Linked DNA regions of Saccharomyces cerevisiae S288C. The gene in region 1 interacts genetically with each later gene. Each region holds a gene or a part of one and is shown on either strand. Other genes may lie near its edges.

Region 1 (8,351 bases):
TTTAAAAAAATTGAGAAGTTACTAACTAATTATTTTAACTCTTTGCAAACCTGCAATACTCGTGATGAATATTTAATTAGATCATTCAAAATGCCAAAGAAGAGAGCTTCCAACGGTAGAAACAAGAAAGGTAGAGGTCACGTCAAACCAGTCAGATGTGTCAACTGTTCCAAGTCTATTCCAAAGGATAAGGCTATCAAGAGAATGGCTATCAGAAACATTGTTGAAGCCGCTGCCGTCAGAGATTTGTCCGAAGCTTCTGTCTACCCTGAATACGCTTTGCCAAAGACTTACAACAAGTTACACTACTGTGTTTCTTGTGCTATTCACGCCAGAATTGTCAGAGTCAGATCCAGAGAAGACAGAAAGAACAGAGCTCCACCTCAAAGACCAAGATTCAACAGAGAAAACAAGGTTTCCCCTGCTGATGCCGCCAAGAAGGCTTTATAACTTGATTAATATAGGTGAAACATAAGTAAATTTTTCTACTATTTCTAATCAATAAAAAATAACCATTACAATAGTTTTCTATTAAATATGTTAATGTTTCAAGTATGTTCAACATCAAATATTACTATCGTCACCTTCCACGAATATAATTTGATACGAAGTATAATTTTTTTGATTTTTTTTTCGCCTCCCTTTCTTCCCTTTAATGAGATATTGAAAAAAACTGTCTGAAGTTAATTATTAACTATGAGCGGAATGCTATCTGTATATATTGCATTGGGTTAGACAATAATCGTTTTACTCAGATTTATATCAGATAGGAAAACGACCAGTAACTATTTCTATTCCGGCACGGCATAAACGTTTTTTTTTTGAGACAATTGGCATATACTCCCCCCGCGCACGTCAATAGATCCTTAACTAAGTAGATTTTTTTTGTTTTTTTCCTTCCTTTTTTCTCTTTTCCATCCAATTTTGCCTAACATTTCCCGTCAAAGATAAAGGGAGTTTGCACAAGACAAGACTATTACGTTAGAGAACTTTCCACGAAGAGACTGGAAGAATTGAAAATTGAATATACAAACGCATTCTAGAAGAATTCGATTACGTCAATTAGGCTCTCTTCTATATTTTAGTTCACCCTTTTTTCGTCCTGTTTCGATTTTTATTCCTATCAGAGGGTGAATAAGGCAGCTTAATACGATTACCCCCACTCCACCAACATATTAAGAAAGGGAAAACTAGTGTTTCTATAAACTGTAAACCTCATAAAATCTAGCCAACATATCGAGGTCAAACTGGAGAGATCTTACGCATAAAGAAATATAATATAGCGCACAATGGCACAAAACAATTTTGATTTTAAATTCAGCCAATGTTTTGGTGATAAAGCAGATATTGTGGTGACAGAGGCGGATCTAATTACAGCTGTAGAATTTGACTATACTGGAAATTATCTGGCCACTGGTGATAAAGGTGGCCGTGTGGTACTTTTTGAAAGAAGTAATAGTAGACATTGCGAATATAAGTTTTTAACAGAGTTTCAAAGTCATGACGCAGAATTTGATTATTTAAAATCCTTAGAAATTGAAGAGAAGATAAATGAAATCAAATGGTTACGACCAACTCAAAGATCACACTTTCTTTTGAGCACAAATGATAAAACTATAAAACTTTGGAAAGTTTATGAGAAAAATATAAAATTGGTAAGCCAGAACAACTTAACAGAAGGGGTTACGTTTGCGAAAAAAGGCAAGCCCGATAACCATAACAGTAGAGGAGGCTCCGTGAGGGCTGTATTATCTTTACAATCGCTGAAACTGCCTCAATTATCACAGCATGACAAAATCATTGCTGCCACCCCAAAGCGTATATATAGTAATGCACATACCTATCACATTAATTCGATATCGTTGAATTCTGATCAGGAAACATTTTTAAGTGCTGACGACTTGAGAATCAATTTATGGAATCTGGACATACCAGATCAGAGCTTCAACATCGTAGATATCAAGCCAACCAATATGGAAGAACTTACCGAAGTGATCACAAGCGCTGAATTTCATCCGCAAGAATGTAATTTATTCATGTACTCTTCTTCCAAAGGTACAATAAAGTTGTGTGATATGAGACAAAATTCCCTATGTGACAATAAAACCAAAACATTTGAAGAATATTTGGATCCAATCAATCATAATTTTTTTACAGAAATCACGTCGTCAATTTCCGACATAAAATTTAGTCCAAATGGTAGGTATATTGCATCCAGAGATTATTTAACTGTCAAAATTTGGGACGTAAATATGGATAATAAGCCTTTGAAAACCATAAACATACATGAGCAATTGAAGGAAAGATTGAGTGATACCTATGAAAACGATGCGATTTTCGATAAATTTGAAGTTAATTTTAGTGGTGATAGTTCAAGTGTAATGACTGGTTCTTACAATAACAATTTCATGATCTATCCTAATGTAGTAACTTCTGGTGATAATGATAATGGCATAGTCAAAACTTTTGATGAACACAACGCACCTAATAGCAACAGCAATAAAAATATCCACAACAGCATACAAAATAAAGATTCTAGTAGTAGTGGCAACAGCCACAAGCGTAGGAGTAACGGACGCAACACAGGCATGGTGGGAAGTAGTAATAGCTCTAGAAGCAGTATAGCGGGAGGAGAAGGAGCAAATTCGGAGGACTCGGGAACCGAAATGAATGAAATCGTGTTACAAGCTGACAAAACAGCGTTCAGGAACAAAAGATACGGTTCGCTAGCGCAAAGGTCTGCAAGAAATAAGGATTGGGGTGACGATATTGATTTCAAGAAGAATATTTTACATTTCTCATGGCATCCAAGAGAAAATAGTATTGCTGTTGCAGCAACTAATAATTTATTCATTTTTTCCGCATTATAATTATAATAATTCCTTATTTTCCCTTACTTTTTTTTATCCCATATCTTCCCCACATACTACTACTGTTTTAATTGAAATTTAAATTGAACTTGAATTCAAATTTTTTAGATTTAGATTTGCCCCTCATTGAAAATCTTTCTATCTTTATTTTTTTATTTTATCTTCTCTACTTATATTTTTATTCTACTTCAAGCGTGTTTTATTATCATTATTCTGAGACTTATACCATTTTCTTTCGTTTTTTTTCTGATTAGCTATCTTATAAACACTGTATCAATTATTAATCCGACATCCCTTTATCAGGACTTCTTTCATCACTTCACCAAAACGCGTGGAACATAAAAATAAAACGTCTTAAATTCTTCTTCATAGGTGCATGTTTATGTTTTTAAATGCTTATACATTTGCAATATAATTATATATATATAGATGTTTAAGAACGGAATGATGCTTCGCCGCCCAAAATACCTAGTACCTTTAGTTCCTATCAAAGGATTAATCTTTTTTTATTTTGAATTTTTTTTATCGAATATAAAAGAAATAAGTAAGAATTAGTAAAATTATCATAAATAAAAATTTTTCGAAAAGTTTATTCTCACTTAATCAATTAATTAATCGTCGTGCTCGATGTGCCTGTTGACAACAGGATTCCAGAATAATGTCTTATCACCGTCACCCCAGAAAAAAGGCTTAGACCTGATATTCATAAACTCGTAATCCCTTGGCCATTCGGAGTCTGGCACATGTTTCAAATGTTCACGATGCTCAGCATGCTCCTTTTCAACAAAGTATGTGTTCACAGCTGTTAAAGCAATTGCTGGTAGGGCGACCCAAACTGAGATTTTAACCCACATATTAGATGTGTCCTTCGCATGCTTTTCAGTGGCCATTAATGATTCTTTAAATTTTTGAGCTGCCACTTTATCTGGTGGGCCAAATGCAGGTTTCAAAGCATTTGGGGGTAATGAAGATGCATATCTCTTAGCACACTGTCTAAACATTTTTCTATTGTTTGTTATTTGTATAACTGTAGAACTGTAGTAATATGATTTTAAATCTAGATAAAACACATGCGATGTGTAGTGAAAACGTTCAAGGCAACGTGTATGTTTGTTATATTTAATGTATCCCGTCACTCATCGTGATCACATCCCAGCTGGGGGTTATTTTTCGATTCTCTTAGACCGATACTCCCAGTACCGCCTCTCATTGGTGGGAAAAAAAATTACCCGAAATTACTATATTGTGTCAATACCGCACCATATCACTACATTCATAGCGGTATAATCGAAAGGATAGCGGCGTTGGGTTACTACTATCGTCTACCTATTCAGCAGGATAGCTTACTCTGTATTAGCAAATAATAGTCGTTCTTCGCTATTCCCACAGTTTCCAGTAAGAACGATTGGAGTAGAAAAAAAGAATGGTAGAATGCGCCATGGGAAAGAACCGACCAAGAGTGGGAGCAAATAAGTCAAGTAATTACATTAGTAGTGTTTAATGGTTGAAAATATGGCCAGAACTAGTATTAGCTTTCTCCAGGCGACAACAATTTTTAAACATCCGGGTAATAAATTGTTCCAGTTGATGTAAAAAAATACACGGACTCGGATAATAATTATTGGACATAAACCATATCCTTCTCTATTCCAAAGTTTGTCTAATACAGACCAGGAAACCATTTACTTCCCGCTGCAGTCTTTTTTATGACCATCTTTTTTATGCAATGCTATTAATGTTTAAAAGGATTATTTAACGCTTTACTGAGCAAAATATAGGTTATTTAGTGTTTGGAATTGTTGTTTTTGTTGCTGTTTGGATTCAAAGGGAGTATGTTTTTGATTCATAGGATTCTGCTTGGCCTCAGCATAATACTTACCACTCCCCATATCCATATTATTCCAATACTGCTGCTGATGCTGCTGCTGTAATTTTGAAGGTTGCTTTTTGTCGATTTTTTTAGTACCAGTGTGGCTGGTTCCAGTTTTGCTCTTCATAAACTCCTGGTACTTCCTCTCGACATCCATTTCGTAAATGCAATTTCCTGTCAACTGGTTTCCGATGGTAAACCAGCCAGGCCGCGTATTGTGATCCCTTCCGAATATCTCTAGTTTTCTGGCATGGGTGCCTGCCAACCGTTCTGCTATACCATACAGTTCATCAGGCTTTCTACTAGTCTCTCTGGTCATTGATACGATCAAATCGACGTCAATATGTTTGTTGATCCACTTTGGATTACCCTTTAAGCCCACCAATAAATGCTCCTTAGAATGATTTAACCAATGACCCGTACGACCTGTAACAATTGTTCTACCCAGTTGGTTTGTCTTTATCCATGAAACTTCATTTATCACGTTGTAACCCCAGTTATTCAAAGACTCTTTACCCAATTCTATAGCTCTACCCGTCACCCAAAGAAAAATAATACCTTCATCTTGTAGTTCGTGCAAAGGCAAACCTAATAGTTCAATATCGTTGCAAGTACCGTATGGTAGGTTCATATGGATATTCCATGCAGGATCTGCAATAACTACCGAAAACTTTCCAAGAACCCTAAAATCAAATTTCCGCACATCGCAACGGATCCACTGTGCAGGTAAAGCCTTTTTGATACAATGTGCGGAGCAATTGCCCAGAGTATAAAATGGAATGGAAACGTTTGACCGTATTCTTTTATTTTCACTCGCAGTTTCACGATCAGCTCGCTCTTGCAAGCATGACGGAATATATTGCAGGTAATGAATGTATCGACACGTATTTAATTTATGACAGGTATCCAAATAGGAACAATCTCCTAACGAAATATCAGTTTGTGGTTTGATATTAGGGATAAAGTGAATTTTTGATTGAATGCACTCAATTAATCCTGGGTGATTTTCCTGACATGCGGATATTTTGGACCATTGTAAAGAAACGATTTTGTTATTGACAATGTACACCGAGGTGGACAATAGAGATGCATGCGAATAGTCACTACATATCGGGATGTATTCAATGACCTCGGTCGTGTATTTGGCTCTTTCTTTAGCAAGCTGAAAAGATGATGGTTTTTCCCTCAATAAATTTTGTAAGCGATTGCTCAGTTGTTCACGTGGTAACCCCTGGTTGCTGACGTTAACGTCCCAGTTCAGGACTCCAAGCAGTCTACCCAGCAGTTGGTCTTTTTCCGAATCAGCTTCCGGTTTTGTTGTTAAACTCGACACTTTTTCTTCACATGAAGAACTGGACGATTTTAATGTATAGTAGAAGGCATGGAACTTGTTATAGAGAATTTTCAAGGAAAAAACGTCCAGGTAAACAATTTTTTCTGGCCTATCTGCCACTAATAGATTCTGGTCAAATTGAATGGACTGCGGCGTTGCAAATATAATATCCTGAAGATCATTCCAAAACTGTTCAAACTGTAAGACCTCGTCTTTATCGTTTCTCAACTTCTGCATCTCATCATCGTATCCGCCACTGATGTACAGTGAATACACATCTTTGAGCTGTCCAGAAAGCGGTGCTCTTAGGATGTCATCATAATTCTGGATCAGAAAATGTACTAGTTTATCGTTAATCATAGCCTGCTTACAACTTTTATGAATTCAAGTCTGAATGCCAATTCTTATTTTTTTCGAAAACCCCCAATGCTAACTTATATGGTCCGTTTTCTTTACTGTTATCCATCTCCCTTTCCTATAGCTCCAGCGGTTACCGATCTTCCAGAATGCCGGGGAGATCTTTCTCTTTCTTTGTTTATAACAAGTTTCACAAGCACGAAAGAAAGAACAATACTGTACGCCAAAAGCCGCCTAAAGACGCATATTCCCGTCAATTTATGTGACCGGTACCACTATATACCTAAGGCACCTCTATACCAATGTAGAATGCCCTGTTTATACTCTATATAGAGGATTCTCGATGTTCTTTGGGGCATCGTTAAACGTGATATTCCTACTATGTTACTAAATGTTGAACTGAAAGCATCTTGAAACGATTCTAATCAGTTTTAGGTGTGTCGCCAATGTACAGTTATAGAAAAGACGCCAGATTACTCAAGTACGTTAAAATCAGGTATCAAGTGAATAACAACACGCAACATGTCTGGAACATTTAGTTATGATGTGAAAACAAAGGAGAACGAACCATTATTTGAGTTTAATTCTGCTTATTCTCCCAGGGTATCGTATCATTTTAACTCCAAAGTTTCACATTACCATTATGGTGTTAAGCATCCAATGAAGCCGTTTCGGTTAATGCTAACGGATCACCTAGTTTCCTCTTATGGATTGCACAAGATTATGGACCTTTATGAAACAAGAAGCGCTACCAGAGACGAATTACTACAATTTCACTCGGAAGACTACGTGAATTTTCTCTCGAAGGTTTCACCAGAAAATGCAAACAAACTGCCCAGAGGCACACTTGAAAATTTTAACATTGGAGACGACTGTCCTATTTTTCAAAATTTATATGATTATACAACACTATACACTGGTGCGAGCCTTGACGCCACCAGGAAACTAATCAACAATCAATCGGACATAGCGATAAATTGGTCTGGTGGTCTTCATCATGCAAAAAAGAATAGTCCATCTGGGTTTTGCTATGTAAATGATATTGTGCTTTCTATTTTGAACTTATTACGATATCACCCAAGAATCCTTTATATCGATATCGACTTACATCACGGCGATGGTGTCCAGGAGGCATTTTACACCACAGATAGGGTCTTCACGTTGTCTTTTCATAAATATAATGGCGAATTTTTCCCAGGAACTGGTGATCTGACAGAAATTGGTTGCGACAAAGGAAAACATTTCGCATTAAATGTACCCCTAGAAGATGGCATAGATGACGACTCATATATAAACCTTTTCAAGTCAATTGTAGATCCTCTAATAATGACTTTCAAACCAACACTTATTGTCCAACAATGCGGTGCGGATTCCTTAGGTCATGATCGCTTAGGATGCTTCAATTTAAATATAAAGGCACATGGAGAATGCGTAAAATTTGTCAAATCATTTGGTCTACCAATGCTAGTAGTGGGCGGTGGAGGTTATACACCTAGAAATGTATCACGGCTTTGGACCTACGAGACAGGAATTTTAAATGATGTCTTGCTACCAGAAGACATCCCCGAAGATATCCCATTCCGGGACTCATTCGGGCCGGATTATTCACTTTATCCTATGTTAGATGACTTATACGAAAACAAAAACAGTAAAAAACTACTGGAAGACATTAGAATACGATGTCTAGAAAATATCAGATACTTGCAAGGAGCACCAAGTGTCAGAATGGATGCTGAATGCATACCGACACAAGATATAAGTGCCCTGACAGAAGAAGAGGATAAAATCATTCAAGAAATGAATGAAGAAACAGAAGCAGACAGTTCAAATAGGCTAGAAGAAATGGAAAAAGAAAACAGTGGATTGATTGCCTTTTCATAGTTTAAGAGTTTGCTATTCGGTTAATCTCCCGTTTTTTTTT
Region 2 (8,430 bases), on another chromosome or scaffold:
TGAAATAAAATCCGAAGATCCATAGGTGAGCCACGAGTTTGATTCCAAACTCGTGGTTTTACCAACGAAGCTGTATATCGTGGAGTGGCGCTACCATTGGACCTTCGTTTCTTCTTTCCCTCTTCCGCACCGTACCAGATAGGAAAAACCGCACCTTCGTTTTTGCATACCTAGATGGTCCTGTAACAAGAATAGAGCTAAAGAAACAAGTATGCGTCGACTGCTGCCACGCCCGGCTGATTTAGGTGCACATCAGCTACCCAGCATACAAAGGGGCTTCCGTACGGTTGATGGTTATTTTTCTTGGTGTGTTGGTGCTGCTGTATCGCTGGTGCTGTCTGCGTTATTACGACTATCGTAGGACAAGGCCTCGAGAGGTGTAGGGTAAATCCCACTTGCACAAAGTATGTACACACTTGATTATCCAAATACCAAGAGAGTGTGGTTCAATTTACGGGCAGCTCGAGCTGCCCGTAAATTGAACCTTCCCCTTCCCCACGCTCAAGGGGTTCCTGCGCCGGTGTTTCAGGGGCAGGACACGCGGGGATCGCTGGCACAGTATATAAACAATAAAAGAACAATGGAGAGAGGAGGCGCCATTCAATATCAGCTCACTAGAGTGCATAGACGTATAGACACAGGAATAAAGATAGAAATAGGGTACCATGGAGCTGCCTTCAATAAATAGCACCACAAGTATATCCGACAACCAGGAGTTAAGGAATTACTATGACAAGTTGCTGTTCAAGAACAATAGTGGCAAGTCGCTAGCGGATTTGCCAGGAAAAATGGCAGATTTTAACGACAACAGCGCTGCTGCGCATCCCCGCTCCAGAGTTGACTTTATCAACGGTTACATCGGTTTCAGAGAGGATAAGCAGTCTCTTCTGGGGCAGAAGAACACTAAAAGGGCCTCGTTCAGCGCATTTGCGGACGAAGGAAGGAAACAGAGCGAGATGAGCATTAACGGGAAGAGCCCTAATTTGTCTCTTTTCTCATTTGAGTTTAACGGCACCCCGACTCAGGACAGAAAGCCATACAAACAGGATTACTTGAATGTGATGAACACTTCGCCTAACAATATTCTTTCTCCCTTAAACAACAGCTCCCAAAAATACTATCCACAGAAACAGCAGCAGCAGCAGCAGCAGCAGCAGCAGCAACAGCAACAAAGCATCTTTGACCCGGGAAGAAGATCTTCCTATATTTCTGATGCGCTGATTCATGGCAATGCGGCTACCCAGCAACCACAATACTCGCAACCTGTATATATTAACAACAACCCATCTTTGCAAGTACCATACACTGCTCCTTCCGAGTATACTCAGCAGCAACAGTACTCGTCACCCTTCAATGCTAGGCGCAACACCCAGCCAGTGCTGAACTTGCATCCGGCAGCCGCTCCCACAAACGATGCCGGATTGGCGGTTGTCGACGGCAAGAATTTGACGTCATCCAAGGAGCTGCATGACTTATATCTTGACTGCGGGTCAAACTATTTTGCTAGTGATAAAGTTTATAAATTTATTGACAGCATAAAGGGAACTTTACGCGGGGATAATGTCTCCGCCTCCAGTTCCAGGATTATAGAGTTTTTGGATTTTTTGAAAAATTGTAATCTGAATTACAACCCACAGTCTGACGCATTCATCTCCACTGCTGTTTCAAACGCTTCGTCGACCGGGGCGGCCAAATCCAAGAACAGCACTTCAATGCATTTGCACTATAAGCCATTAGTGTTAGTATCGTTGAAAAATGGTAAGCTCGAACTGTTGTCTAAACCACAAACGGCCACACTTATACTGAAAAGGGGCGATTTGGTCATTATTGATGGTGATCGTGGTAAAGATTTAGTTTTGGTGGTGGAACCGGTTGTAGATATAAATTTGGCACTATTTATAAATTTTTTGAAGAAAAAAATTCACTTTGATTCTCTAATCACCAATAGTCAACAGCATTTCCCCAATGACCAGTTTATCAAGACTCTGGTTGATACAACCAATGGTAAGCCGGTCGCTCATGAGTTGAATCCGAAGTTATATGATATCATTGAACTAACGCAATTGATCATCCCATCAAAGCAGGTTCTGAGATTTGCCACCCCGTGGGAATCCTCCACGAATTTACACAACAAATTCCAGGATGAGCTAAAGGCTCTTCACATTGCACAGCTAAAACTGAGGTCGCTAAATAACAATAACTCCGGTGGCGGGTTGAACATCAAAATATTGAATGCAGAGTTCCAATTCGACAGAAAGAAATTGACTTTCTACTACATTTGCCAGGAGCGTAATGATTTCAGAGACCTGATCAAAGAACTCTTTAAGTTTTACAAAACAAGAATTTGGCTTTGTGCTATACCGAACAATTTATCGATAGATTCCAAATTTTATGATTCAAACAAGTTTGAGTGGGAGATGTATCAGGATATGATGTCCCACTATTCCATGGACAACACTGGAATTGTCGTGGCCCCTGAACTGAATCGCTTGAAACTGGACGACTTCCAGATCGGTGTTTATATGGAATTGGTGAAGGTTTTGTTCGGCTAACCCAAACTTATATAATCATTATAAACATTTTATAAACTTATACACTTTTTTAATAATCTCACCATGTTTTTCTTATGTGTTTTGTTTGACAATGACATTACTCCCTACAAACATGTGCGCGTTTGTGACAAAAACATAAATAAAACAAAAATAATAAAAAGTCAAGTGAAAAGCACTGAAATCTAAAAAATAAATACATATACATATATATATATATATACCTATTTCGTTTCCGCATAGAAGAAATTGGAGGCAACTAGTTGCAGGTTGTTTTCCTTAGCCCATTTGCCAACACCGGTGGCAGGGGTGCCGTAACCCCAGTTCGGTCTATCCTTAATTTTCGAGAACTTAGATGAGTCCACGCCCTTAGGCTGCTTATATAACAAGAAAACATATCTGTGGGGACCGGATCCCTTGGGTGGAGCTGGTCCCATATATTCTATTAGTGTGTTCGAGCCCTTCGTATTGAACTCTGATGCAAAAAATTCGGTTGCTCCGGAGGTCTCGTGAGTAGCCTCATTCAACAGCTTTAAGTCGCATTCTACCAAGTGGCAGAATTCAGACCACTTGTGATCTGTCTTAGAGGGAGCATCCGGATCGGTCATTACCAGTGTGAACAAATCGTCGTCTTGGGGAACGTACGCATTCGCCTGTGGTACGCTTTTTTGCATTTGCTTATTGAACGTGAACTGGAATTGGGGCTTGGAACGTGCCTTCTCAGTGGGCAGCGTGTTACCCATGGCAACAGGTGCACTTGATGAGTACTCTACGGCAAGTATCCCGGAGGGTTGAAAGCTTGTGTCATGAATTACATCCTCCAGAATGCCGTGCTTCTTGTAGGAGTCAATGCTTGCTTGTGCGAAGTCTATTGCTTGGTTCATGTTTTTTGCTTGTTCTCTTGTTCTTGTATTGATGCACTGGTAGGGAAAAGGAGCACTGCAATTCGTTTCTTGCTGCCCCCTTTTTATATACCAATTGAGATCTTTCCTTCCCTGAACAGCCCCTCTATCCCTTAAAAGATAGAAAAGTTCAAAGGGATAGGAAAAATCAACGAGCCAAAAAAAAAAAAAACGGAACCGTTCGGCATGTATATATTCACTATTTCATATACGCGTTTGCACAATATACTCTATCTTATCCGTATCTATACGAGCCGGTTGCTGCACCTTACATGTCATAGTTGAAATCAACGGTCGTGTTTTCGACCATGTAATAATTGGCACCGACCAGTTGCAGATTGTTCTCCTTGATATAGTCATAGGCACCCGCACCAGGAGTACCGTACCCCCAGGAGATAATGTTCTCAACCTTGGTAAAAGTGGACGAATCCGCTCCCTTGGGTTGCTTGCACAGGAAGAACACGTATCTGTGATAACCGGAGTTCTTTGGTGGACCAGGCCCAATATAGTTATTTCTCACGACACCCTTCCCCGAAATGGCAATATCTCCCCCAGGTCCGTACTCGACAGGAATATCAGTGATGATGTAGTGACAAACCTCCGACCACTTATGTTCTGTTCTAGAGGGCGCGTCCGGGTCAGTCATCAACAAAGCGAGTTTATCCTCGGCTGACAATTGGCTTTTATCGAAGGGCGTGAACTTGATGGTAGGAGCGGCTTGCGTAGCTTCCATTGGCATGGGATTGCCCAATTTGATGTCGTCAGAATCAACGTACGAAACCGACAACTCACCAAGAATCTCGAACGCCAAGTCCTTGACGGTGTCCTTAATGATGTCCTCTTTGTTCAGTTTAGCAACGATGGCACTAGACATAATATATATTTCTATTACTAAGTACTCGGATGGGTACCGAAAGTGGCAGATGGGCAGTGTTTACTCAAACAATTGATGGCAACATTCAATTCCTCACCTGGTGCGCACTTCCAATAATGAGCACGCTTGGCACTTTTATATTGTTCAAAAAAATGTCAGGCAAGATCTTTTGAAAAAAAGGTACCGAAACGGACGTAAGACGGAAATAGAATTTGAAGATAAAGTTATATATCACTACACACGAATACTTTCTTTTTTTTTTTTCACAGGAAAACTGTGGTGGCGCCCTTGCCTACTAGTGCATTTCTTTTTTCGGGTTCTTGTCTCGAGGAAATTTTAGCCTCATCGTAGTTTTTCACTCTGGTATCGATGAAAAAGGGAAGAGTAAAAAGTTTTCCGTTTAGTACTTAATGGGATTGGTTTGGGACGTATATATCGACTGGTGTTGTCTGTTATTCATCGTTGTTTTTCGGTTAGCTTCGAAAAAAAAATAGAGTAAAAACCAGGAATTTACCCTAAAAACAAGAAAAAATAAGATAAACGAAAATATGGCCGGTACATTTTTATTCACTTCTGAATCCGTTGGTGAAGGTCACCCAGATAAGATCTGTGACCAAGTTTCCGACGCCATCTTGGACGCTTGTTTAGCCGAGGACCCTCACTCCAAAGTTGCGTGTGAAACCGCGGCAAAGACTGGTATGATTATGGTCTTTGGTGAAATTACTACCAAGGCACAGTTGGATTACCAAAAAATCGTCAGAGACACCATCAAGAAGATTGGTTACGATGATTCCGCCAAGGGTTTCGACTATAAGACCTGTAACGTCCTTGTCGCCATTGAGCAACAATCTCCAGATATCGCCCAAGGTGTCCACGAGGAGAAGGATTTGGAAGACATCGGTGCCGGTGACCAAGGTATCATGTTTGGTTACGCCACAGATGAAACTCCAGAGGGTTTGCCTTTGACTATTCTTTTGGCTCATAAACTAAACATGGCCATGGCTGACGCGAGAAGAGATGGCTCTTTAGCGTGGTTGAGACCAGACACCAAGACTCAAGTCACCGTCGAATACAAGGATGACCACGGTAGATGGGTTCCACAAAGAATCGACACCGTCGTCGTCTCCGCTCAACATGCTGACGAAATCACGACCGAGGACTTAAGAGCGCAACTAAAGTCCGAGATCATTGAAAAAGTCATCCCAAGAGACATGTTGGACGAAAACACCAAATACTTTATCCAACCTTCCGGTAGATTCGTCATCGGTGGTCCTCAAGGTGACGCTGGTTTGACCGGTAGAAAGATCATCGTCGACGCTTACGGTGGTGCCTCATCCGTCGGTGGTGGTGCCTTCTCCGGTAAGGACTACTCTAAGGTTGATCGTTCTGCCGCTTATGCCGCTAGATGGGTTGCCAAGTCCCTAGTTGCCGCTGGTTTATGTAAGAGAGTTCAAGTTCAATTTTCTTATGCCATCGGTATTGCGGAACCATTGTCCTTGCACGTTGACACCTATGGTACTGCGACCAAGTCTGACGAAGAAATTATCGACATTATCAGCAAGAACTTTGACTTGAGACCTGGTGTATTGGTCAAGGAGTTGGACTTAGCTAGACCAATCTACTTGCCAACCGCTTCTTATGGCCATTTCACAAACCAAGAATACCCATGGGAAAAGCCTAAGACTTTGAAGTTCTAAGCTTTTTTCCTTTTGGACTTTTTTCTGCCTTCAACCTCCCATGTTTTCATTTGCTCAACACAAGTCAACATGTACATTATACCGTATTTGATGCAGGGACGCAATACCATCATATTCTTGATATAGACTCATTTTTCTCAAATCAAATTTGTATCGATTTCATTTTGCATTATACAGGATTCCTTTTCCTTTCTAACATTTAATACGTAACTACTAATATTAATATATACCTCCTTCAACGGATCAACAAACCAAACTTTATCTTATTCAAATAGAATTTAACAGATCCAACGCCTTAGTTAACTCATCTTTGGCGGTGGGCAGGTCTTCATAATTCAATGCGCTTATGGCGTATTTGGCAAGTTTTTGAATTTGCTCTATTTTACTGGCCCTGTCCATAATTTTTGTCAACTCATCCTTTGTATACGATTTATGCTCTGCTGCAGCAGGTTCTGATGGTGCAGAAGGGCGCGTAAGATCCACTTCTTTCTTCACAACTTGTTGTTCGTCTTTTGTTATTGCATCTTCGTTCTTGTCGACGGTCTGTTCTTCTTCGTTTACGCTATCGGCATCATCAATAAATTCAGGTACCTCATCCACAGGCTCGTATGATGTTGTTTGGTCTTTTGGGGCTAGGCCTTCGACTTTATCATTATTATTGTTTTCCAAATCGCTTGTCTGGTGATCAACATCTTCATCCTTAATCTCCTCGCTATCATCCGCAAAATCTGCATAATCTAACGTTTTCTCGTCGCTGGAACCAATTTCACCCTTTGCCAATTTACTCAAATAAATTTTGCAATACTTAATTCGTTTTTGTAATGAATTTGTACTCGTTTCACTTATATTTTCCTTCCACAGGTGTAAAATGCATGAAAATAAATCAATACAACACCAAAGTGATCTTTTTAACATAACATCCCAGGGACCATCTTTTAGCTGTTTCAGTTTCTCGTTATACAACGACATTGTAAAATTTAGCATATAAATTTTGGCTTTTTCTTGATCATGTATTAGCGTGTTCATAACGTGTAAGCTTTTGTCACTGTCTTCTGCTTCACTCTCGCCGCCAATCTCCTTCTTAAACGCTTCAATAGTATCAAGAAGTTCTGTCGCTAGTGCGGTCATCTCTTGCGACCGATCTTCTTCACTCAGTATCAATTCCACCGCATATAACTGAAGATAGTATCCGATGATCCCTAACCCAACTTTGTCAAAATCCTTCGCTGTAGCGACAACCCTTGCAGCGTTACTAGCCATAGAATTTATTTAAAATGTGGACAATTAGTTTCTAAAAATTGAATCAAATAAAATAAGAAAGCTTATTGTTCCTTTTTTTGTCTTCATCTGGACCGTTTGGATAAGATCATTCACCAAATCTTAGTTTTTTTTTTTAGTTTCCTTCTCCAACGATTTCATAATAATAAAAAAAAACAACAAAAAACACGATTGAGAAACATCAATATGAACTAAGCAATAGCTAAAAAAAAAAGAATAATAAAGGGGAACACAGTATAATTCTCGAGAGGATGGCGTTGGAAGAAGTGGTACGATACTTAGGACCTCACAATGAGATCCCTTTGACACTCACTAGAGACTCGGAGACTGGCCATTTCCTCCTGAAACATTTTCTGCCCATTTTGCAGCAATATCATGACACGGGGAATATTAACGAGACCAACCCCGATAGTTTCCCCACTGATGAGGAAAGAAATAAATTACTGGCACATTATGGAATTGCTGTAAATACAGACGACCGAGGTGAGTTATGGATAGAGCTGGAAAAATGTTTACAATTATTAAACATGCTAAATTTATTCGGTTTGTTCCAGGATGCATTCGAATTTGAGGAGCCTGAAACAGATCAGGATGAAGAAGATCCCAGCCATTCGAAACTACCAGAAAACAAGACCAAAAGTGAAAATTCTAAGGATAATATCAGCTCAAAGAGGATTAATAATTTACAAGATATGAGCCTGGATTCTGATGCACACAGAGAATTAGGCTCTCCTTTAAAAAAACTAAAAATAGATACCTCTGTAATAGATGCTGAGAGTGACTCCACTCCGAATACTGCCAGAGGCAAGCCTAACGATGATATTAATAAGGGCCCTAGCGGCGACAATGAAAATAATGGCACTGATGACAATGACAGAACCGCTGGACCTATCATAACATTCACTCATGACCTAACTTCTGACTTTTTAAGCAGTCCACTGAAAATCATGAAAGCACTACCTTCTCCAGTTGTAAATGATAATGAACAGAAGATGAAACTAGAGGCATTCTTACAACGGTTGTTATTTCCAGAAATTCAAGAAATGCCTACATCCCTTAATAATGACAGCAGTAATAGAAATTCAGAAGGGGGGAGCTCAAACCAACAACAACAGCACGTATCATTTGAT

The links.
Region 2: mutations in COX13 (region 1) and TFS1 together harm fitness more than expected from each alone (negative genetic interaction), as found in Saccharomyces cerevisiae (one large-scale study listed by BioGRID).

Annotation. Positions count from the first base shown.
Region 1 is NC_001139.9:140,328-148,678, reverse strand, and holds COX13 (cytochrome c oxidase subunit VIa), read right to left. Parts: upstream 3,872-8,351; coding exon 3,482-3,871; downstream 1-3,481. Other genes in the region: 40S ribosomal protein eS26 RPS26A, read left to right, coding at 91-450; protein phosphatase 2A regulatory subunit CDC55, read left to right, coding at 1,290-2,870; IME4 (mRNA (N6-adenosine)-methyltransferase), read right to left, coding at 4,631-6,433; YGL193C (uncharacterized protein), read left to right, coding at 6,452-6,763; histone deacetylase HOS2, read left to right, coding at 6,953-8,311. UniProt on the Saccharomyces cerevisiae protein: Component of the cytochrome c oxidase, the last enzyme in the mitochondrial electron transport chain which drives oxidative phosphorylation.
Region 2 is NC_001144.5:510,389-518,818, forward strand, and holds TFS1 (Tfs1p), read right to left. Parts: upstream 3,434-8,430; coding exon 2,774-3,433; downstream 1-2,773. Other genes in the region: YLR177W (uncharacterized protein), read left to right, coding at 666-2,552; YLR179C (uncharacterized protein), read right to left, coding at 3,720-4,325; methionine adenosyltransferase SAM1, read left to right, coding at 4,874-6,022; VTA1 (Vta1p), read right to left, coding at 6,290-7,282; transcriptional regulator SWI6, read left to right, coding at 7,552-8,430. UniProt on the Saccharomyces cerevisiae protein: Specific and potent inhibitor of carboxypeptidase Y.